Lonchura striata: one gene and its partners. The protein of the gene in region 2 purifies or fractionates together with the protein of the main gene of each other region. This does not show direct contact. Links are inferred from orthologs where the notes say so. Each region holds a gene or a part of one and is shown on either strand. Other genes may lie near its edges.

What was found. The genes of interacting proteins can lie anywhere in the genome.
Region 1: the proteins of PPP6R2 (region 2) and ANKRD28 purify together in Homo sapiens (co-immunoprecipitation; 4 studies listed by BioGRID and IntAct, counting the BioPlex papers as one, with this or other methods). This does not show direct contact. The link is inferred for Lonchura striata from reciprocal best matches to the Homo sapiens genes PPP6R2 and ANKRD28.
Region 3: the proteins of PPP6R2 (region 2) and ANKRD52 purify together in Homo sapiens (affinity purification with mass spectrometry; 3 studies listed by BioGRID and IntAct, counting the BioPlex papers as one, with this or other methods). This does not show direct contact. The link is inferred for Lonchura striata from reciprocal best matches to the Homo sapiens genes PPP6R2 and ANKRD52.

What each region holds. Positions count from the first base shown.
Region 1 is NC_134603.1:121,892,904-121,900,059, reverse strand, and holds the start of ANKRD28 (serine/threonine-protein phosphatase 6 regulatory ankyrin repeat subunit A), read right to left. Parts: upstream 3,014-7,156; 5' UTR 1,399-3,013; coding exon 1,282-1,398; intron 201-1,281; coding exon 117-200; intron 1-116. UniProt on the Homo sapiens protein: Regulatory subunit of protein phosphatase 6 (PP6) that may be involved in the recognition of phosphoprotein substrates. Involved in the PP6-mediated dephosphorylation of NFKBIE opposing its degradation in response to TNF-alpha.
Region 2 is NC_134607.1:72,861,818-72,869,020, forward strand, and holds the start of PPP6R2 (serine/threonine-protein phosphatase 6 regulatory subunit 2), read right to left. Parts: upstream 3,004-7,203; 5' UTR 2,696-3,003; intron 1-2,695. Other genes in the region: protein DENND6B, read left to right, coding at 3,389-3,535. UniProt on the Homo sapiens protein: Regulatory subunit of protein phosphatase 6 (PP6). May function as a scaffolding PP6 subunit. Involved in the PP6-mediated dephosphorylation of NFKBIE opposing its degradation in response to TNF-alpha.
Region 3 is NC_134629.1:5,549,102-5,556,195, forward strand, and holds the start of ANKRD52 (serine/threonine-protein phosphatase 6 regulatory ankyrin repeat subunit C), read right to left. Parts: upstream 3,014-7,094; 5' UTR 2,988-3,013; coding exon 2,961-2,987; intron 1-2,960. Other genes in the region: COQ10A (coenzyme Q-binding protein COQ10 homolog A, mitochondrial), read left to right, coding at 5,271-5,350. UniProt on the Homo sapiens protein: Putative regulatory subunit of protein phosphatase 6 (PP6) that may be involved in the recognition of phosphoprotein substrates.

The DNA.
Region 1 (7,156 bases), on a different chromosome or scaffold from region 2:
AGCTCAATAATCAGTAAAGTTTTAAGGACATTAGTACAGCAGAAAGATATAACAAACAAAACTAAAATATATTAAAAAATTAAAATCTATTACAAGAGAATTATATTTGATTTTACCTGAAAATTAACATCTTCTTTCTTAAATATTAGTGCTCGAACTTCATCAGGATCTCCATTAAATATAGCTTGAACCAATGGTGGCTAAAATGAAGAAGAAACACAAAATAAAACCCTGTTTTAGTGATACACATACAGTTTTTTTGATACATAACAGAAACCCAAGGTAATGACAAAAAACCCATTCCAGACAGTAAAACAAAGAAACCAGCGCCAGTAATTAGAATCAAAGAAATTGCAAGTTTTAAAAACCTCAAACACACGGACATCCTCCAAGTCAATTAAATATATATGTGCGAGAAAAAAAAAGGAGCTGAGAAGACAAGCTTATAACAGCTGAAAAGAGAATGCCTTAGAACAAAATTAGGGTTGTCATTACATGCTGCAAATTCTATACAGTATAAGCAAACAATCCCCTTTTACATTAGCAAGTGACTCAAGTTACTGGAAGTCTTTCACCTGTTTAGACAGAGTAGGAAAGCAAAGTGCATCAGATAAGTATGGTAACAAATTCACACTCACACACATCTATTACTAAATATAGCAGGATTTCTTAGTAAGTAAGAAAAGCTGCTGAGGTATGCTAGCAAGATTTAAATCAGTCACTTGTCAGAATAAAATAATTTCAAGCAATAAAAGCACAGTTCCCAGTGTTGATCATTTTCAGAAAGTGCTAACTTGAATCTAATACCAAGATTGTGACTTATGTTAATTTTTATTTTAGCTTAGAATTACCCTTGTTTGATATAACGATATACTCTATTAGTTCTCAAAATAAACACAGCATATGATTATAATACAATGATCACATCAGCTTCTAAAGTAGTACTGCATAAATGTACTATTGAAGATGAGAAGTGGAGCAGGGAAAGCCCCTTTACTTCAAATACACTTCCTCACGCCTTCTAAAACCCCACTGCTATTGCACAATAATGAAGACCTGTTCTTGCTGCACCATAAATAAGGTCACATGAAATAGAAAGGACCCTTGCAAGCATAAATTCTACCACTAAGTTTCAGCTTTTTCCATCTTTATTACATGCATATTTTATCACCTTGTCTGGTTTCACCATTGTATGTATTCATCCTTATTTCAGGAATATAGCTATTGGCATTTGAGACAGCATTATAAGCAGGGAATCTGCCAACAAACAACATGCCTTACCAGCACATTTCCAGAGGGTGATGGATGTACAGATACATTTTCCTGAGGTATATTGGAAATAAATGAGGGAGAATCATCTTCCTCCTCCTCCAAAACAACAATACAGACTCGACTCATTCGATCCGTTTGAGGAAGCAAAAGCAAACAAGAAAATGCCAGCAATGATATTTTTGGAAGCAGACTGCAGGTATCACAATAGTGACCATAGAGGAAACACTTTCACCTGTTTCACAGGCCCTCACAAACTTGTGAGTGCTACTGCTGGTGTCTTAGCATCTAGAAAGGGGCATTCCAATCCCCCCTCACAATTCATTTTCCAAACTGAAACACCATGAGATGTTCAAGACACTGCTGAAAAAAGTAGTTCTTGATGAAATAAAAAGTCCCTAAGCATCAAAACCACAATAACAAAACCGTGGAACAGCTCATAAAAATATCCCAAGATCCAATTCCATTTGAACAGCACTCACTGTCACACACAGCTGTCCTTTCAGAAGCAAATTTGTCTTTGTTAATGTCACAACTTCCACAGCGTCCTTCTACCCTCACAGTGAAGTCATTGTTGCAGAAGACATGACTCCGTCCTGCAGAGGACGGAACAAGGAACAATTGCCCCGAGAGAGACGGCCGCAGCTATTCCCACTCCTGCAAGGTCAGTTTAAATCAACCCTCACAGGCTTTTTGGTGACTGAAAATAAACGTGCCTCCCGATCATCCTGCCATTCTCCAGCTTCCTTTCTCAATGTCAAAAACAGTCCAGACAGAAAAACACATCTCGGTTCAGCAGTTATTCAGGACCTGCTGAGAGGAAAAGAATTCTTTCCCATGCAAGAAAATAGCTGCAACGTGCAGCAGGGCTGCAGCACATTTACATGCAATGAGTCAGACCACAGGGACAATGAACTCCTTGAATAATACTGCCGGCCGAATCCAGCAGAAGCAGCGCAGCCGGTGCTACTCCGTCAGGGACACGAGCAATGCGGATAGTTCATTTTTCCTTCACCAGGCAGTAGCTGTGGCTTCTCCATCAGGGAATGCGTAAGGCAGAAATACTGTAGAGGAGGAATGCTTCAGCAAAACAAGCTAGCTACTGCACACAAAAGCTCAAATTACTGCCTTAGACGACTTCTGCAAAAGCAGTTCATCACTCAAGTGTTTCTTTTGATCACCATGTGAATGCAGTTCCCATGATAGTCTTCATTCAGATTGAGGGGGAGGAAAAAAAAGGAAGAAAAAAATCAGACTCTGTACATCTTCTCTGAGCCAACTTCTTTATCCGAACATCTGTCACTGCGCCAACCTGATTCTCCTCTTCAGTTAGAGCTTCTGCTTATTAGGTTTTTTCCTTGACAAATTAAATTATACAATCAGCAGAGAGGCTTGTAAAGCTCAAAAACCAGCTTGGGTGTCCGAGGCGGCAGGAGCGGCGCACCAGGCAGTGCCACGGCGGCGCTCCCTGAGCAGCAGCCTGGGAGCAGCGCCTGCAGCCTGCCAGGGCGCAATGCCGAGTAATGCTCACATGTCACACTTACCAGAGCACCCAGCCACCGCTCCCAGGGTAACTTCCTCTGCCACCAAAAAAAACCCGCCTTTTGCTTTTTTTGGGGGCAGTCTTTGCAGCCTGCGCCAGATCGGTGACTAACGCAGCTGAAAACGTAAAAATTCTATAACTGAAGAAAGAGCGACTGTTTTAATATTTTCCACTAAAAGCCGCAAAGAAATGTGGCTGTGCTGACTAACTACACTTTAGGCAGTAAACAATTCCAGCACTTTAACTGCTTTCATATGGCACTGGTCAGAGCAGCAAAACAGTTCTCACTTAACTCACTAAAGACAACAAATGCCCCACATAAATCCTCTGAAAATTAAATTAAAAGTAAAATCTTAAAGCAATAGGCTGACTATTAAAAAGCCAGCTATTAATGACCAAAGCCGTGGGTTTTTTGCAATTAGTACAGACAAACACAACCTCAGCTTTAAAAAAAAATTACATTAAGTATAATTTAAATATAATATTATTAAAATACACCATAATAATGAGGTATAATATGAATCCCTACAACTTGCTGAATAAATACTTCGGCTTGAATCTGCCTAAATGGTGCTGGCTCGTGGGTGTATTATGTAAATGGCTTCTGTCAAAAGTTGCTGGATAAGCTTCAGTGTTACAGGAATAGAGGGAGGGTTTTTGCTCCTGCTGTGCAGCACGAAGGCAATTCTGATGTCCTTCAGTGGCTGCTAAGAGCAGAATTTGTCAATGGTGAGCAAGTTTATAGCTCTTCAATAAAGTATTTGCACTCAAATTTCACACACGAATCCAAGCAGAGAGAAAGACAGGTTTAAATGGTGTGGTTTGGATATAAATAGACATACTGAATTCCCACCTTTGGGGGCTACAGACAGGAAAAGCTTACATGAACTCTTTTGCAAAAATGCCTACAGTAGCTTGATTGTAACATAATGAATTGCTTAAACACCTCCCTTTCCCCCTGACACTATGCAGGTGAAACTTACTAAGTGCAAAAAAGTACTTTGGGCAAGGGCTCCCTGACCTCTAGAGTCCTGACCTGGCAGAATACAGCACCAGATTCTGATTCATCATGACATTTCAGATTAAAATTTTTCAAGACTAACAAATAACTTTATAAATATATTTGGTTCATTACATAGAGTCTAGTTGCTTTGCAATCTCATCCTTTTGGTCTTAATTACAAAAAAAACAATGATTTGTACACCACACTGCTTTGTTCTAGCATTTCAGCCATTTATTAAAAAGCAACAACACGGATTCACCTGAATACATACAGCAACTCACGTTCTTCTTGGCCACAGGAGAACTAATTCTAATAAACTATGGACATCCTCAAAGCTCAGCTGTTGCAACACCCTACTGTCTGCTATGGAACACAACAACCACAACACAGAAAATAGCTTGCTTTCTATTTGTGAAAAATGCCCTCAGGAACAGACACTTTGGCTTACTTGTGTAACTAAACACGCATTTTAAAAAAATTAAAACTCAGATTTTATGTGTAAAAGCAAAATACTGGCAAGCTTCATATGATACATACACACTTGCTAGATAATGGCTTTCCAGCTAAGCCCATATGTTCAGTGTAAATTAACACTTTTCAAGAGTCAGTAGATTTATACAATATGCAAATGCCAAGGGTTCTATATGCTTTCTTCGGAATTACCAACTGGACACATTGCTAGATAGAGACAATGCCTAATTTAGTTCAAATTATCTGAATGTGGTCCATTTTTTACCTTTGTAATTAATGCTCCAAGGCAGCTAGAAATTCAATAGTTACTTTTAAAAAAATAGGCTTTCACACTCAGTTAATTGTGAAAATTCAGAACATTTTAATTTACTCTGATAATTTACAATTAATATAAATTATGTCCAAAAGCAAGTAAACATATATCTCACCTAACACTGTATGGTTTTGAATTGTGACATCACAACAGAGAGTTAAAAGCCAGTACATCACAGTTTGCATTAAAAAGACAACCAACACAACTGAATCAATATTATATTGATTTCCATAGCAATCTAAGCCATGTAAGTAAGCAAAAACACTCTGCTCATGATAGGACTGTGTGTGTGCAATTGCTTCCGTAACCAAAGGAAAAACCAGTTCTGGATATTTAATTTTTGCTCACAATTAACTAGCATTTCCCCCTTCAACCAAAAGCTGTGCCTTCACTTCAATGCAAACAGCATCTCTAATCACCTCTTCTTTCAACTGCAAAAAACCATTCAAGTCATCTTCTGGAGGGCAAAATGCAGTTTCTAATGTCACCTAAGAGATCTTCTAAAACCCAAAAGCTGTTTAGAATTCTACTGTAAGAAACCAGACTAAGGTTTCAATTTTTCAGCAGCTTATCTAGACTAACAACTTTCTGTGTAGAAGAGTTAATAGGAACAGAAAATGAAAGCAGAATAAATTCAAGATGATTAATTTAAGCTTCTGTTCCTCAAACTAATTTAGGAATCATAACAGAACTTTGCAAAGGTATAAAGAACATTGCATCTCAAACAGTTTGGATTAATAAAACTTAAAATAACTGAAGACAGCAGGTCATCACCATACATCTTCTCCAAAAGTCATCTATTTCCAATACAAAAGCTTATAAAATGAGAAGCAGAAAAGAAGGCTTAAAAATGGCCTAACTTGAAAAAAAGAATGCCATGTCTACAGGGATTTGGGTGGTGATCTGACCTCCACAAGATCTATTAGCAAAGTAGTATCTCCACACAACTCTCAAATTTTAAGAAGTGCAATGGTGATATGAATTTTTGTGAAAATAAAGGCTTTTTGTGTTGATGTGGTAAGGGAAAAAAAGTGTAATTTTCAAACTACACTTGTCTTTAAGTAAATCAAGTTTCAAGAGTCTCTAATGGGTGCATATAAAGAAAATATATTACAAGGATGCAACCCGCAGGTTAAAACATATGTCTGCCATCTACACTAGACAGAAAAAACATTAACTCTGAATCAGCTAAAAACAGCAACCTTTTCTATGGATCTGCCCTCTTCTCTAGGAACAAATGAGCAGAAGACTGTAGCAGCACTGCTGATGACACCAAAAACCAAAGGACTCAATATCAAAGAATCTACTCAGATAAAGATTTCTCTCTTGCCAATCAGCATTTACTAAGTTTTTTCTTCTGGGTTGAGGTTAATCCAACAGGTTTCAGGTAATATTTTGAATGATTAAAAGAATCTAGGTAAGGAAGACAATAGTTCTGTCAGGTTCCATTAAAAATGAAAAAACTTAGAACCAAGTCATATATCAACTTTGCAAGGCAAATACCTAATCTGTGTATTTCTTCAGAAGACAAAGATTGCTTTTAACAGCCACAGCTCTAAGTACATAGGCATACTCCAGTATAAGCAGATTTTATTAAATACAGACAGAGATGAGTGTTCAGCATCACCATGAATATAAGTAAGTTACAATAATTCTAGAATACTTTTAATGAGTCACTCATCTGAACTCCTCTGCTGTTTCCTCCCCACTCCTGAGGGAATGAGGTGGAGTCAGGAAAGAGAACAGACTAAAGCAAGAAATTAGTACCTTTCTTCCCAGTTTTGTTCTGTTTATTCCAGAGCATCTGCATCTGCAGAATAGTTTTAATCCCTGGACTCCACAGTTTTTCTTCTAAGAACAAGCAAAATAGCTATGCTTGCACTTCATGATACCACAGGCAATTCCTACTTTTTCTCATGCAATTATACAGGCTCTGTTAATCTAAAGAACTATTTCACATAGTCACATACTATCTTTGAACACTTGGTAATTAATAAAATCCAGTATCTAAAAAGCCATTTCAGCTGCAATTGAAACACAAAGAAGAAAAATAATCTAGCATTCACTCTAACTTTTCTCAGTTGGAGCAACATAAGAAAAATGAATAATAAAAAATGTCTGTGATTCAGACACAAACTTCAGTTGTATACTTAAACACCCAGTAATATGTTAAAAATATCATCTGACCAAAGAGCAGTAAAGCACCTTGAAAGTGTTAAAAGTCTACTAAGCAATTTGCTGTTTAAGACTTCTATTCTATGTATCTGAACAACACACCTGCAGACAAGCTCTTGGCTGAAGGACCATATGGCCATCACAGTACAACATAAGTAAATACCTGAAAAAAATTATCTCTGGTGTCCAAAATAAGGAGTCTAGCAATCAAACTGTGCACAGACCAAAACCCAGAAAAGCAAAGGCAACTCCTATTTCTCTTAAAAGAAAGTGAAAATATGAGGGTTCTGCATCTTCCAACATGTGTTCTAGCTAAGATATCAGCCAGCACACTTTCCTTTTAGGCCAGATTTAAATTCACTGGCAGGAGGAGGTACTTTGT
Region 2 (7,203 bases):
AGACACCCCAGGCCATGGTTCCAAGCCTGGCTGTGACACGGGGCACTGGATCCCACTGGGAACAACTGCTGGAATCTCCTCTAGCACTGACACGAGGGGCTGGGCAGGTGTGGCAGGGCCAGGCTGGATGGGGCTGGGAGCAGCCTGGACCCCTGGCAGGGGTGGCAGTGGGTGGCATTAGGGACCCCTTCGATCCAAACCACTCCTGGATTCCGTGGTTCTGTGTGTGAGGGCAGCCCCTCAGCACAGGGAGCGCTCTGGCTGCAGAGCTCCCAGCCCTGGAGCAGGATTCCCGGCCGGAGCGGGAGCGGGCACACGTTGGGTGGGAGGCTGCAGGCCCAGAATAGGCTGTGGATGATGAATTCTGGGATCTATTCTTGGCTCAGGATTGAGGCGTGATCTGGTGCCTCCAGCAGGCATCAGAACAGGATCTCCCAGCGCCAGTTTGACATTAATCTGAGCGGCCCTGCAGGGAGGAGGGGACGAGCTTTCCTCCCTTCTCCCCCAGCCACAGCCTCTGCCGAGCACCCAGCGCTGCTCCGGGAGCTTTTCCAAACCCCGGCGTTTCTCTCTGGCTGCCTTTTGGGCCGAGTGAGCAGGCCTGCTTGAAATCCCACAGCTCCGGGTGCCCGAGCACAAACAGCCCCGGGAGCAGCTCGCATTCCCCGGGGCTGCGGGGAACGCTCCTCGCTGCTCTGGGGAACATTATCCGCGGAGCCTGGCGGTGCGGGAGCACGGCAGCCCGGGCAGCGGCTCCTGCGGGCCGCAGGGCCGGGGCGCACAGTTAATTATAGCCGCCGGGCTTGGGCAATGTTGTGTTTGCCGGGTTGCCGGGGAGATGAGCAGCAGCCCCGGCGCTGCCCCGGCAGCTCCGAGCTCGGCAGCAGCGCTGCGCTTCCAGAGCTGCAGCGCCGACCTTCCCAAATATGGTCCAGCACCAGCCGGGAGCTCCCCGGGCTCGGCTCTGGGATCAGCACTCCGGCCATCGGACCCTCCGCAGCCTCTCCTGCGGGCATCAGGCTCGGCACTCCGGGAAAATCCCGCTCTGCAGCTTCCCCTGGCCGGCACCAGCGGCCCCGGGCAGGGCTCCAGCCGGGACGGTACCGAGGAGAGCTGGGCAAAGGAGTCCCGAGACCTTGGGGGTTTCATCAACAGCAAAGCAGAACTGCCCTGGGGCAGGTCCTGAGTTCATGGAAACCTCCTGTGGAGCCAAGCTGGGAGAGCTGGGGGGGCTCACCTGGAGAGGAGAGGGCTCCAGGGAGAGCTCAGAGCCCTGCCAGGGCCTGAAGGGGCTCCAGGAGAGCTGCAGAGGGACTGGGGACAAGGATGGAGGGACAGGACCCAGGGAATGGCTCCCACTGCCAGAGGGCAGCCAGGGATGGGAGATTGGGAATGAGGAATTCCTGGCTGGGCTGGGATTGCCAGAGCAGCTGGGGCTGCCCCTGGATCCCTGGAATGTCCAAGGAAACGCTGGAGCAGCCTGGGACAGTGGGAGGTGTCCCTGCCATGGCAGTGTGGCACTGGAGGGGCTCTGGGGTCCCTTCCCACCCAGCCCATCCCAGGATTCCCAGGTTCTGTGATTCCAGCATTTGCCTGTCCTGCCTTGTGGCTCTGGGAAATTGTGAAGGAATGGGGATGCTGGGTGTGACCTTCTGCCTGTGACAGTTCCCTGCTCAGGTACAGGGCTCTGCTCCCATCCTAATGGAAACCCTCCAGCCCTCACTTTTATACTTCTCAGGCGTTCTTAGCACTTTTATTGCCCCTTTGATTCACAGTTAATTTTCTTCTGCTTGGCCAGGCAGGAATGTTCGTGTGGCTGCAGTGAAATCAGCCATGGGAGACCCCTGGGACAGGATCAAAACTGACTTTTATTGTGGGACAAAGAGTTACTGAGGAAAAAATGTCAACTATTTTAAATTCATATTTTCCTTATCTTTCCCTCCTGTCCCTTGCGTGACAAGAATCAGCTTCAAGTGTGGCAAGTGTAAATGTAGTGTTGCAGGCTAATAAATCACAATTAGCATTAACTAGCAATTCATGGGACAGTGTTTAAGTGCAGCTCCTCTGCTCCCTGATCAGGGGAGTTCAACAGGGGCAGGACAGGCCGGGTAAGGACATTAAAGGCCTGAAGCTGAACAAACAGCACTGGGGGGGGGCAAAGAAGTGCCAAAAATAAATAACCAAACCTACGGGGGCGATGCTGCTGGGAGAGCTCGGCAGCCTGGCCATGGAATTCCTGGGGAAAACAGCTCCTGCCAGGAGCTGCCGTGTCAGCGCACACTCGGGGTGCCTGGGGGAACACTCGGGGTCACTTGGACACCTCTAGGCTCTCTGGAATCACGGAATGGTTCAGCTGGAAGGGACCTCAAAGCCCATCCCGTCCCGTGGGCAGGGGGGAACACCTTCCACCGCTGTGCCAGGGTGCTCCAAGCCCTGTCCAACCCAGCCTTGGGCACTGCCAGGCTGGAATTGTTCCTTCTCACACTTCCTTTTTATGGTGGTCCTACTCCTGCCTTGCTCCGGGCTTGAGCTGGCAATAAATAACCCCTCAAAGTGCCTGGAATGCCACAAAAATCACGGTGACCAACAATCCCGGGCCACCCTTTGCCCTCTGCCCGGGGAACGCCGCCGTGCCCGGCTCTGCCAACATCCCCGGGGCAAACTTCTCCTGAAGGAATGGATGTCATCTTCTCACCTTTGTAAACGTAACTGAGGCCTCAGGTAACTTCTACAATAGAAGCCGCTTAATGAAAGAACTCTGTTTCAAGCGAAAGTCAACTTTCAGCCGGGCCAGGTTAGGTCACACCATGAACTGCGCCTTCGGCAGGTGGAGCGTGTGAGTTACAGCGGGCCGGGTTTGTGTGACTTCTCCTGCAGAAGAGATGCCATTTTTGACCCCTTCCTCAGCTGGCTTTGTGGAGATCTCCTCCTCACGGCCGGCAGGGAACAAACGGCGTCTCTTAACGGTGTTTGGCGCGCTCCTAAATCGGCGAAAGGGGGCTCGGGGAGGCTCACACCGGGCACAGCCGGGGCGGGGGGCCCCGGCGGGACACACGGGGGTCCGACAGGCTCCGGCCGGGACACACGGCGGTCCGACAGGCCCCGGCCGGCGCAGGCAGGGGCCGGGCACCGAGCGGTGAAGCCGCCGTGGGCGCAGCGCGCCCAAGCCCCGCGGCGCCCTCACGCCGCCCTCACGCCGCCGCCATGACACCCGCGCGGCCCCGCCCGCGGCGCTCCGCGCGCCCGCCCCCGTCTCGATGGTGCGGGCGGCGCGTTCGGGTCCTCCCGGCCGGCAGGGGGCGCGGCGGGGCGCGTTGGGGCGCGTTGGGGCGCGGTCCTCCCGGCCGGCAGGGGGCGCGGCGGGCCGGGCCGCGCGGGCGGCGCCGCCATGGACGCGCTGAGCCGGGCCGGGCCGCGGCCCCGCCGCGCCGCCGCCGCCGCCGCCGCCTCCCCGCTGCCCTGGGGCCGCTTCGCCGCCTGGATCGACTGCGTGTGCGTGGTGACCTTCGATCTGGAGCTGGGACAGGCCATGGAGGTGCGCCGCGGCGGCCCGGGGCGGCACATCGCCTCAGGGAGCGGGCGGGACCGGCGGGCGGGGTCGGGGCTGTGCAGGGGTCCGGGATGGAGAGGGAGGGGAGAGGGAATGGGGAGAGGGAATGGGGAGAGGGAATGGAGTGAGGGAATGGGGAGAGGGAATGGGGAGAGGGAATGGGGAGAGGGAATGGAGTGAGGGAATGGGGAGAGTGAATGGGGAGAGGGAATGGGGAGAGTGAATGGGGAGAGGGAATGGGGAGAGGGAATGGAGTGAGGGAATGGGGAGAGGGAATGGAGAGAGGGAATAGAGTGAGGGAAAGGGGAGAGGGAATGGAGTGAGGGAATGGAGAGAGGGAATGGAGTGAGGGAATGGAGAGAGGGAATGGGGAGAGGGAATGGAGAGAGGGAATGGGGAGAGTGAATGGGGAGAGGGAATGGGGTGAGGGAATGGGGAGAGGGAATGGGGAGAGGGAATGGAGTGAGGGAATGGGGAGAGGGAATGGAGTGAGGGAATGGGGAGAGTGAATGGGGAGAGGGAATGGGGAGAGGGAATGGAGTGAGGGAATGGGGAGAGGGAATGGGGAGAGGGAATGGAGTGAGGGAATGGGGAGAGGGAATGGAGAGAGGGAAAATGGAGAGAGGGAAAATGGAGAGAGGGAATGGGGAGAGGGAATGGAGAGAGGGAATGGGGAGAGGGAATAGAGTGAGGGAAAGGGGAGAGGGAATGGAGTGAGGGAATGGAGAGAGGGAATGGAGTGAGGGAATGGGGAGAGGGAATGGAGAGAGGGAATGGGGAGAGGGAATGGAGTGAGGGAATGGGGAGAGGGAATGGAGAGGGGGAATGGGGAACAGGGAGCTGACCAGGGGAGGCAGGGACCAGGGGATGTGGAGGGAGCAGGGATGGGGAGAGATGGATGCAGGAATGGGAAAGAGAATGAAGGATGGGGACGGAGGGGATGAGGAGTGGAGAGGGAAAAGCCGCAACAGGAATGAAGAGGGAAAAGCGGGATCACAGCTAGGGGTGTGGAAAGGGGGATCAGGGTTGGGGTGCGGGCAGCGAACAGGGAGGGGAGGGGGGCCCGAGCAGAGATTTGGGGTGAGGGAGGGGCCAGGGCAGCATCCAAGAGACCTTTATGGATCCTCTTCATGGAATAAAGGGTGACATGTCCCATGGAGCCAGGCTGGGGGCTCACCTGGAGAGGAGAAGGATCCAGGGAGAGCTCAGAGCCCTGGCAGGGCCTGGAGGGGCTCCAGGAGAGCTGCAGAGGGACTGGGGACAAGGATGGAGGGACAGGACCCAGGGAATGGCTCCCACTGCCAGAGGGCAGCCATGGATGGGAGATTGGGAATGAGGAATTCCTGGCTGGGCTGGGATTGCCAGAGCAGCTGGGGCTGCCCCTGGATCCCTGGCAGTGCCCAAGGCCAGGCTGGACACTGGGGCTGGAGCAGCCTGGGGCAGTGGGAGGTGTCCCTGCCATGGCAGGGGTGGCCCTGGAGGGGATTTGAGGTCCCTGACCACCCAACCGGGATTCCAAAGACAGAACTTGCCAGCAGGCAGGGCAGGGAGGTGTCCGTGCAGGATTCCCAGGGAAGGGAAGTTCCCTGGCTGGGTTGCAGCAGAGCTGAGCCCCTCGTGGGGCCACAGAGGGTGGGATTGGGGTGGGAAGGGCTGGGCAGTTGTCCCCAGGTTCCTGGAATGCCCAGTGCTGGTCCTGCAGGAGGGTCTGGGGGGAGCTGGGCTCCTCAGGGGCTGCTCTCTGAGGAAAGCAGGGAAGCGTGGATTTGTCTGAACCTGAGCCATCACCTCGAATTCCTTCCTATTTCTTGTGTGGTTGTGGGAGTCACTCCTTGCTCTGCCCTCTCTAGGGAGATTGCTCTGGTTTACAGACGATTGAGCCTTCCCAGTTTTAAATGCTGGGGCTTCCAAAGGGATTGGGAAGCAAGAGGAACCAACTCCACCTTGTTGCTGCTCCCTTGCCTTGAATCCTACATTGTTTCTTTCCCTGGAGCCTGAAAGTGAATAAAAAAATCTCCTCCAGACCCGAGTTTCACCTGTTTGATCCTTTTTCCTGCAAAACCAGGCCTGAGATACCCCAAGGAAGGGAGGAATACTGGGATAATAATTAGCATGGTGAATTCAATGCTTTGTAGTTGTGTTTTGATATGTAAAGGTGGGTTCTCACCTGTCTGCCTTTGTGCGTGAGGGATGCAGGAATGTTGTTTGTTCCTCTCTGGAAAGGAATTTTCCTTCTTTTCCTTCCTTTCCTCCTTTTGCCTGCATAAGTTTCAGTGGAAGAATGTTCCTTGCATGGCACAAATAACTTAGGAAATCTGGGAACTGCCAGTGGGGATGACACGGCCCCAGTGCCCCTCTTCCTTTGGAAAAACGTGGATTTCTGTTCCAGGGGAAGGAGCAGGGGTGAGACACGGGAGGGAAGCCAGGAAGAGGAGAAGCTGTGGGGGCTTGGGGGGCTCTGGGGGTACCGATTTAGGGGGTCTGGCCATACAAACCCAGGGGGTCTGAAATCAGCTCCAAGAGAGTCAGAAATTCAAAACACTGAGGGAGATCCCAGAGATTCTGGAATTCAGCGATTCCCGCTCTGCTTCCATGGACAGTGGAGAAGCTGTTGGAAAGAAGAACCCAAATCAAGTTAGAAATTAAATGGAATTCCTATTTCTGGCGCCTCCACTTTCAAATAATGAAATAAACAATTTAGGATGTGATTGAAGCCCTTTTGGGCTGCTCTGGAGACTTCTACACATCCTGATTTCCTTTTCACGTGCCTTTTTTTGGCTTTTGAAAAGTTGTGGTGACTCGGATTCCTTTTGGCTCGGATTTGAGATTTTGAACTTTGGGATGTTTGGTGATTTCCCCGCACCCCAAACGCAGAGAAACATCAGCGTTAAAGTGAAGGGGAAGTAGAGATGTGGAATCCCAGAGGGATTAAGGTTGGAAAAGACCTCTGAGATCATCAATTCCAACCTTGGAGGTTAAAGCCTGATTTTCCAACTGTTCTCTTGCAGAAAACTCCCCCAAAATCCAGCAGGAGAAGCAGAAGCCTTGTCCCAACTCCTGCTCTGATTAGGCAGCAGATGTTGAGGAAAGCACAATTCCTGGGATTCACAGGCTCCTGATAGACCAGGATCAGCAGTCCAGGGCTCCCACTCCTGGCCACGATTCCCTGGGAATTAACAGGATAAATGTTTGGGTGGGGGTTAATTAGTGCCAGCCCCAGGGATGCGTTCGGGGTCCTGGCGCAGAGCAAGGGGAGCAGGGAAGTGCTGCCCTGGGACAATCCTGATCCCTTCCCACTGCAGCACCCCAGCCTTCCCCATGCATGCTGCCCGCCTGGCCCCTGGAGCTGCTCGGGGTCCTTTTGCTTCGGGATTTTCCTGCTTTTGCTTCGGGATTTTCCTGCTTTTGCTTCGGGATTTTCCTGGCTGTTCCTCACAGCTCAGCTCTGGCGGGGGCTCATCAGCGGCGCTGTTAATTGGGAATTTGGCTGGCTCGGCTGGAGCGCCGCCCTTGCCAAGGGATCCGCAGGAATTGCCAGAGCTGGGTGAGCTCCCAGCCCCTGGCACGGGGCCACCGGGTATTTCGAGGCAGGGCAGGAGGGTCAGGAGCTGCTGGGAGCTGCTGGCACAGCTCCCGAGGCTGGGACGGGAGCT
Region 3 (7,094 bases), on a different chromosome or scaffold from region 2:
CCAACCCTGGGCTCTGCCGTTCCTGATCCAGGGGTCCCAACCCTGGCGGCTCTGCCCTTCCTGATCCAGGGATCCCATCCCGGGGGCTCTGCCGTTCCTGATCCAGGGATCCCATCCCGGGGCTCCACCATTCCTGATCCAGGGGTCCCAACCCTGGCGGCTCTGCCCTTCCTGATCCAGGGATCCCATCCCGGGGGCTCTGCCCTTCCTGATCCAGGGATCCCATCCCGGGGGCTCTGCCGCTCCTGATCCAGGGATCCCATCCCGGGGCTCTGCCGTTCCTGATCCAGGGATCCCATCCCGGGGCTCTGCCGTTCCTGATCCAGGGATCCCATCCCAGGGCTCTGCCCTTCCTGATCCAGGGATCCCATCCCAGGGCTCTGCCCTTCCTGATCCAGGGATCCCAACCCCGGGGCTCTGCCCTTCCTGATCCAGGGATCCCATCCCGGGGGCTCTGCCCTTCCTGATCCAGGGATCCCATCCCGGGGGCTCTGCCCTTCCTGATCCAGGGATCCCAACCCCGGGGCTCTGCCCTTCCTGATCCAGGGATCCCAACCCCGGGGCTCTGCCCTTCCTGATCCAAGGATCCCATCCCGGGGGCTCTGCCGTTCCTGATCCAGGGGTCCCATCCCAGGGCTCCGCCATTTCTGATCCAGGGATCCCATCCCAGGGCTCTGCCCTTCCTGATCCAGGGATCCCATCCCAGGGCTCTGCCCTTCCTGATCCAGGGATCCCAACCCCGGGGCTCTGCCCTTCCTGATCCAGGGGTCCCAACCCCGGGGCTCTGCCGTTCCTGATCCAGGGATCCCATCCCGGGGCTCTGCCGTTCCTGATCCAGGGATCCCAACCCCGGGGGCTCTGCCGTTCCTGATCCAGGGATCCCATCCCGGGGCTCTGCCGTTCCTGATCCAGGGATCCCAACCCCGGGGGCTCTGCCGTTCCTGATCCAGGGATCCCATCCCGGGGCTCTGCCGTTCCTGATCCAGGGATCCCATCCCGGGGGCTCTGCCCTTCCTGATCCAGGGGTCCCATCCCGGGGGCTCTGCCCTTCCTGATCCAGGGATCCCAACCCGGGGCTCTGCCGTTCCTGATCCAGGGATCCCATCCCGGGGGCTCTGCCCTTCCTGATCCAGGGATCCCAACCCGGGGCTCTGCCGTTCCTGATCCAGGGATCCCATCCCGGGGCTCTGCCGTTCCTGATCCAGGGATCCCAACCCGGGGCTCTGCCGTTCCTGATCCAGGGATCCCATCCCCGGGGCTCTGCCGCTCCTGATCCAGGGATCCCATCCCGGGGCTCTGCCGTTCCTGATCCAGGGATCCCAACCCCGGGGGCTCTGCCGTTCCTGATCCAGGGATCCCATCCCGGGGCTCTGCCGTTCCTGATCCAGGGATCCCATCCCGGGGGCTCTGCCCTTCCTGATCCAGGGGTCCCATCCCGGGGGCTCTGCCCTTCCTGATCCAGGGATCCCAACCCGGGGCTCTGCCGTTCCTGATCCAGGGATCCCATCCCGGGGGCTCTGCCCTTCCTGATCCAGGGATCCCATCCCGGGGCTCTGCCCTTCCTGATCCAGGGATCCCATCCCGGGGGCTCTGCCGTTATGATCCAGGGATCCCATCCCGGGGCTCTGCTGTTCCTGATCCAGGGGTCCCATCCCGGGGGCTCTGCTGTTCCTGATCCAGGGGTCCCATCCCGGGGCTCTGCCGTTCCCGGGCCAGGGGGTCCCAGGACCGGGATCTCCTCTCGAAGCTCTGCGGTCCCCAGGCCGGGGGGTCTCATGGAGCAGGATCCCCCTGTGATGCTTCACATCCCTGGGCCGGGGATCCCATCCCCGGGGCCCTCCCGTTCCCTCCCGGGGGTCCCATCCCCGGGGCTCTCCCGTTCCCTCCCGGGGGTCCCATCCCCGGGGCTCTCCCGTTCCCTCCCGGGGGTCCCATCCCCGGGGCTCTCCCGTTCCCTCCCGGGGGTCCCATCCCCGGGGCTCTCCCGTTCCCTCCCGGGGGTCCCATCCCCGGGGCTCTCCCGTTCCCTCCCGGGGGTCCCATCCCCGGGGCTCTCCCGTTCCCTCCCGTTCTATCCCCGGGGCTCTCCCGTTCCCTCCCGGGGCTCTCCCATTCCTTCCCCGGGGCTCTCCCGTTCCCTCCCGTTCCATCCCCGGGGCTCTCCCGTTCCATCCCCGGGGCTCTCCCGTTCCATCCCCGGGGCTCTCCCGTTCTCTCCCGTTCCCTCCCGTTCTATCCCCGGGGCTCTCCCGTTCCATCCCCGGGGCTCTCCCGTTTCCTCCCGTTCTCTCCCGTTCCCTCCCGGGGCTCTCCCATTCCCTCCCCGGGGCTCTCCCGTTTCCTCCCGTTCTCTCCCGTTCCATCCCCGGGGCTCTTCCGTTCTCTCCCGCTCCCTCCCCGGGGCTCTCCCGTTCCCTCCTGTTCCCTCCCGGGGCTCTCCCGTTCCATCCCCGGGGCTCTCCCGTTCTCTCCCGTTCCCTCCCGTTCTCTCCCGTTCCATCCCCGGGGCTCTCCCGTTCCCTCCCGGGGCTCTCCCGTTCCCTCCCGTTCCCTCCCGGGGCTCTCCCGTTCTCTCCCGCTCCCTCCCGCTCCCTCCCGTTCTCTCCCGTTCCCTCCCGTTCCCTCCCGTTCTCTCCCGTTCCCTCCCGTTCCCTCCCGTTCTCTCCCGTTCCCTCCCGTTCTCTCCCGCTCTCTCCCGTTCTCTCCCGTTCCCTCCCGCTCCCTCCCGCTCCCTCCCGCTCCCTCCCGGGCCCTCCCGCGCCGTCCCGGGCCGCGGCGGTGCCGGAGCGGCGGTGCCGGAGCGGCGGCGGGGCCCGGCGGAGCGGGGCGGCGGCCCGGGGCCTGCGGCGGCGGCGGGCCGGGCCCGGCGGGAGCCGCGCTAGGCCGCACATCCCCGGGCTGCCGTGGCGGCGCCGCCCGGGCAAGGCGGGAGCGGGAGCGGGAGCGGGGCTCGGCCGTACCTGGTCCGTGATGCTGAGAACCCCCATGTCGGGGCCGCCCTCAGCGCCCAGCTGCCGGCATCGGGTCCGGCCGCGGCGGCTCCGCTCGGGCGGCGGCGGGGCGGGGAAGGAGCGGCGGGGATGCGCCGCCCACCGAGCCCCGGGCGGCGGCGGCGGCGGCGGGGGCGGCCCCGGGGCGGCCGCATCGCCGGGGGTCTCCGGGCAGCGCCGGGCCCGGCCCGAGGGGCGGCGGGGCGGGGGAGAGCGGCCCGGGGGTCGGTGCCGTGACACCGGGTGTTCCCGGGGGGAATCGCACCCCGGAGGGGCTGTCGGTACCCCGGGGGTCCGGGGGTCACTGCTCTGACACCGGGTGTCCCCGGTGGGGATCACACCCCGGAGGGGCTGTCGGTAACCCCGGGGGTCGGTGCCCTGACACCGGGTGTTCCCGGTGGGGATCACATCCCGGAGGGGCTGTCGGTAACCCCGGGGGTCGGTGCCCTGACACCGGGTGTTCCCGGGGGGAATTGCACCCCGGAGGGGCTGTCGGTACCCCGGGGGTCGGTGCCCTGACACCGGGTGTTCCCGGGGGGAATCGCACCCCGGAGGGGCTGTCGGTACCCCGGGGGTCGGTGCCCTGACACCGGGTGTTCCCGGGGGGAATCGCACCCCGGAGCGGCTGTCGGTACCCCGGGGGTCGGTGCCGTGACACCGGGTGTTCCCGGTGGGGATCGCATCCCGGAGGGGCTGTCGGTAACCCCGGGGGTCACTGCTCTGACACCGGGTGTTCCCGGGGGGAATCGCACCCCGGAGGGGCTGTCGGTAACCCCGGGGGTCGCTGCTCTGACACCGGGTGTTCCCGGTGGGGATCACATCCCGGAGCGGCTGTCGGTACCCCGGGGGTCGGTGCCGTGACACCGGGTGTTCCCGGTGGGAATCGCACCCCGGAGGGGCTGTCGGTAACCCCGGGGGTCCCTGCTCTGACACCGGGTGTTCCCGGTGGGAATTGCACCCCGGAGGGGCTGTCGGTAACCCCGGGGGTCCCTGCTCTGACACCGGGTGTTCCCGGTGGGAATCGCACCCCGGAGGGGCTGTCGGTAACCCCGGGGGTCGCCGCTCTGACACCGGGTGTTCCCGGGGGGAATCGCATCCCGGAGCGGCTGTCGGTACCCCGGGGGTCGGTGCCGTGACACCGGGTGTTCCCGGGGGGAATCGCATCCCGGAGCGGCTGTCGGTAACCCCGGGGGTCCCGGGTGCCCCAGCCTGAAGAGTGCTGGGGCGGTGGGAGAAGGTCCCGGGGGTCCCGGTGTGGCACTTCCATCCCTCTGTGGGGTCTGTCCGGTGGGAACCCCGTCCCCCGGTGGTCCCGGGGGGTCCCGGGGCTCCAAGAGGGGCCGGGCCGGCACCGGGAACGGGGCTGGGAACTGGTGCTGCATCCCTGCGCTGAACTGGGAGGAACTGGGATGTGCTGGGAGGAACTGGGATGTGCTGGGCTGAACTGGGATGTGCTGGGAGGAGGAACTGGATCGTGCTGGGCTGAACTGGGATGTGCTGGGCTGAACTGGGATGTTCCGGGAGGAACTGGGATGTGCTGGGCTGAACTGGGATGTGCTGGGAGGAGGAACTGGATCGTGCTGGGCTGAACTGGGACGTGCTGGGAGGAACTGGGATGTGCTGGGGGGAGGAACTGGATCGTGCTGAGCTGAACTGGGATGTGCTGGGAGGAACTGGGATGTTCCAGGAGGAACTGGGATGTGCTGGGCTGAACTGGGATGTTCTGGGAGGAACTGGGATGTGCTGGGCTGAACTGGGATGTGCTGAGCTGCACTGGGAGACACTGGGAGGCCCTGTTGTGTGTTGCGCTGTAGTGGGCGGCGCTGGGCCGCACAGTTCCCGCAGCCACGGTGGATCCCCGCTCTCTCGGCTCCTCTGCCCGGTTCGGAGCGGGGCCCTTACCGGGGCACGGCACCGGAGGCTCCCCGTCCCTCTCCGGACCCACGGACCGGGAGCACACGTGGGAGGCGCGGCCCCTGGGGCAGAGCCCAGCCCCGGCAGCCCCGGGCGGGGCAGTCCCGGTTGCTCCCGGTCGCTCCCGGTTGCTCCCGGTTGCTCTCGGTCCCGCAGCAGCCGCATCCCCAGCCCGCACTACATTTCCCATCGTGCCCCGCGCACTCTCAGCCTACAACTCCCATGATGCCCCGCTCGGGGGCGGTGCCCGCCCCGTGACGTGCCCGGCGCCATGGCGACGCGGTGACGTCACGGGGTGAGAGGTCAGGGCGGCGCCGGTCCCGGTTCCGGCCCGGCCCCGGTCCCGGTCCCGGTCCCGGCCCGCTGATGGCGGCCCGGCGGTTCCGCGGCGCCCTCCAGCTCGGGGCGCGGCAGCGCCTGCGGGCCGCGGCGGCCCCGCCCGGCAGGTGAGCGGCGGCGGCGCGGAGGTCACACCGGGGACACCGGGGCGGGCACCGGGAGGCGCTCGTGCTGCGGGGGTTCCTCCGGGCCTGGCCGCGCTCCCGGCCCCCGTGAGGTGCGGTGGTCCCGGGGCACCCTGTGGGAACGGGGGGGTCCCGGCGGGGCCATCCCGGCGATCCCGGGGCTCCCGGTGATCCCGGGGCGGCGGCGGCCCGCCGGTGCCGCTGGCCCGGTTGGCCGCGGGGTGGGGAACGCTGGCTGGGGGGCTCTGACCTTGGCGCGAACCCGCGCGGCGACACCGGGAGCGCGGCGGTGCCGCCGGTGCCGCCGCCCGCGGGGGAACCGAGCCCCGGCGGGGTCACCCCGGTGGCACCGGGGAGGGGACGGCCCCGAGGCCACCCGCGGCAGGGAACACGGGGACACGAGCGGGACCGGCGGCCCCGGTGGCACCGGCGGGACGATTCCCGTGGGAAAGTCGCGATCGCCGCCCCGGAGCGGCACCGGAGGCGGGACGGCACCGGGGCACGGCGGCACCGGGCCCCGCCGGGGTTCGGTGTGCCCGGCTCGGAGGTCCCGGCCTTCCTCCTCCTCCTCCTCCCGGCGTCAGGCCCGGGAGCGTCCCCGCGGCTCGGCACCGGCCCGGAGCCCCCGGCGGGGAGGGACCGGGAGGGACCGGGGATGGTCTGGAGGTGATTTGGGAAGTTCTGGAAGGGACCTGGAAGTTCTGGAGGGATTTGGGAAGTTCTGGAGGGATTTGGGAAGGTCTGAAAGGACCTGGGATGATTTTGAAGGACCTGGGATGTTCTCAAGGAACCCGGAGTGGCCAAAAAGGAACTGGGGGTGGTTGGAAAGGGACCTGGGATGGTCTGAAGGTATTTGGGAAGTTCTGGAAGGGATTTGGGAAGCTCTGAGGGGCCTGTTAGACTCTGGAACGGATTTTGGAAGTTCTGGAAGTGATTTGGGAAGGTCTGCAAGGAGCTGGATGGGTTGGAAGGGTTTGGGAAGGTCTGGAAGGGAAATGAAGGGAAGTTCTGGAGGTGATTTGGGATGGTCTGAAGAACCTGGAGTGGCCAAGAAGTGACTGGGAGTGGTTGGAAAGGGACCTGAGATGGTCTGAAAGGGACCTGGAAGTTCTGGAAGGGACCTGGAGTGACCATTAAGGGACAGGGATGGTCAGGAAGGGACCTGGGATGGTCTGAAGGAACCCGGAGTGGCCAAGAAGGGACTGGGAGTGGTTGGAAGGGGACCTGGGATGGTCTGAAGGGACTTGTGAGGCTCTGGAAGTGATTTGGGGAGCTCCAGAGGGATTTGGGAAGTTCTGGAAGTGATTTGGGAAGCTCCAGAGGGACCTTTGAGGTTCTGGAAAGGACCTGAGAAGCTCTGGAGGGATTTGGGAAGCTCGAAGGCACTTGTGAGGTTCTGGAGGGATTTGGGAAGCCCTGGAAGGAATTTGGGAAGCCCTGGAAGGAATTTGGGAAGCCCTGGAAGGAATTTGGGAAGCCCTAGAAGCCCTCTTGTCCACCAGGAAGGGTCCCAGGGCACAGCGCTCCCGGTGCTCCCAGTGCTGCCGGTGACAGTCGGTGCTCCCGGTGCCGCTGGTGCTCCCGGTGACTCTGGTGCTGCCGGTGCTCCCGGTGCTGGTTGGTGACTCTGGTGACTCCAGTGCTCCCGGTGCTCCCGGTGCTCCCGGTGCCAGTCGGTGACTCCGGTGCCGCCGGTGCTCCCGGTGCTCCCGGTGCCGGTCGGTGA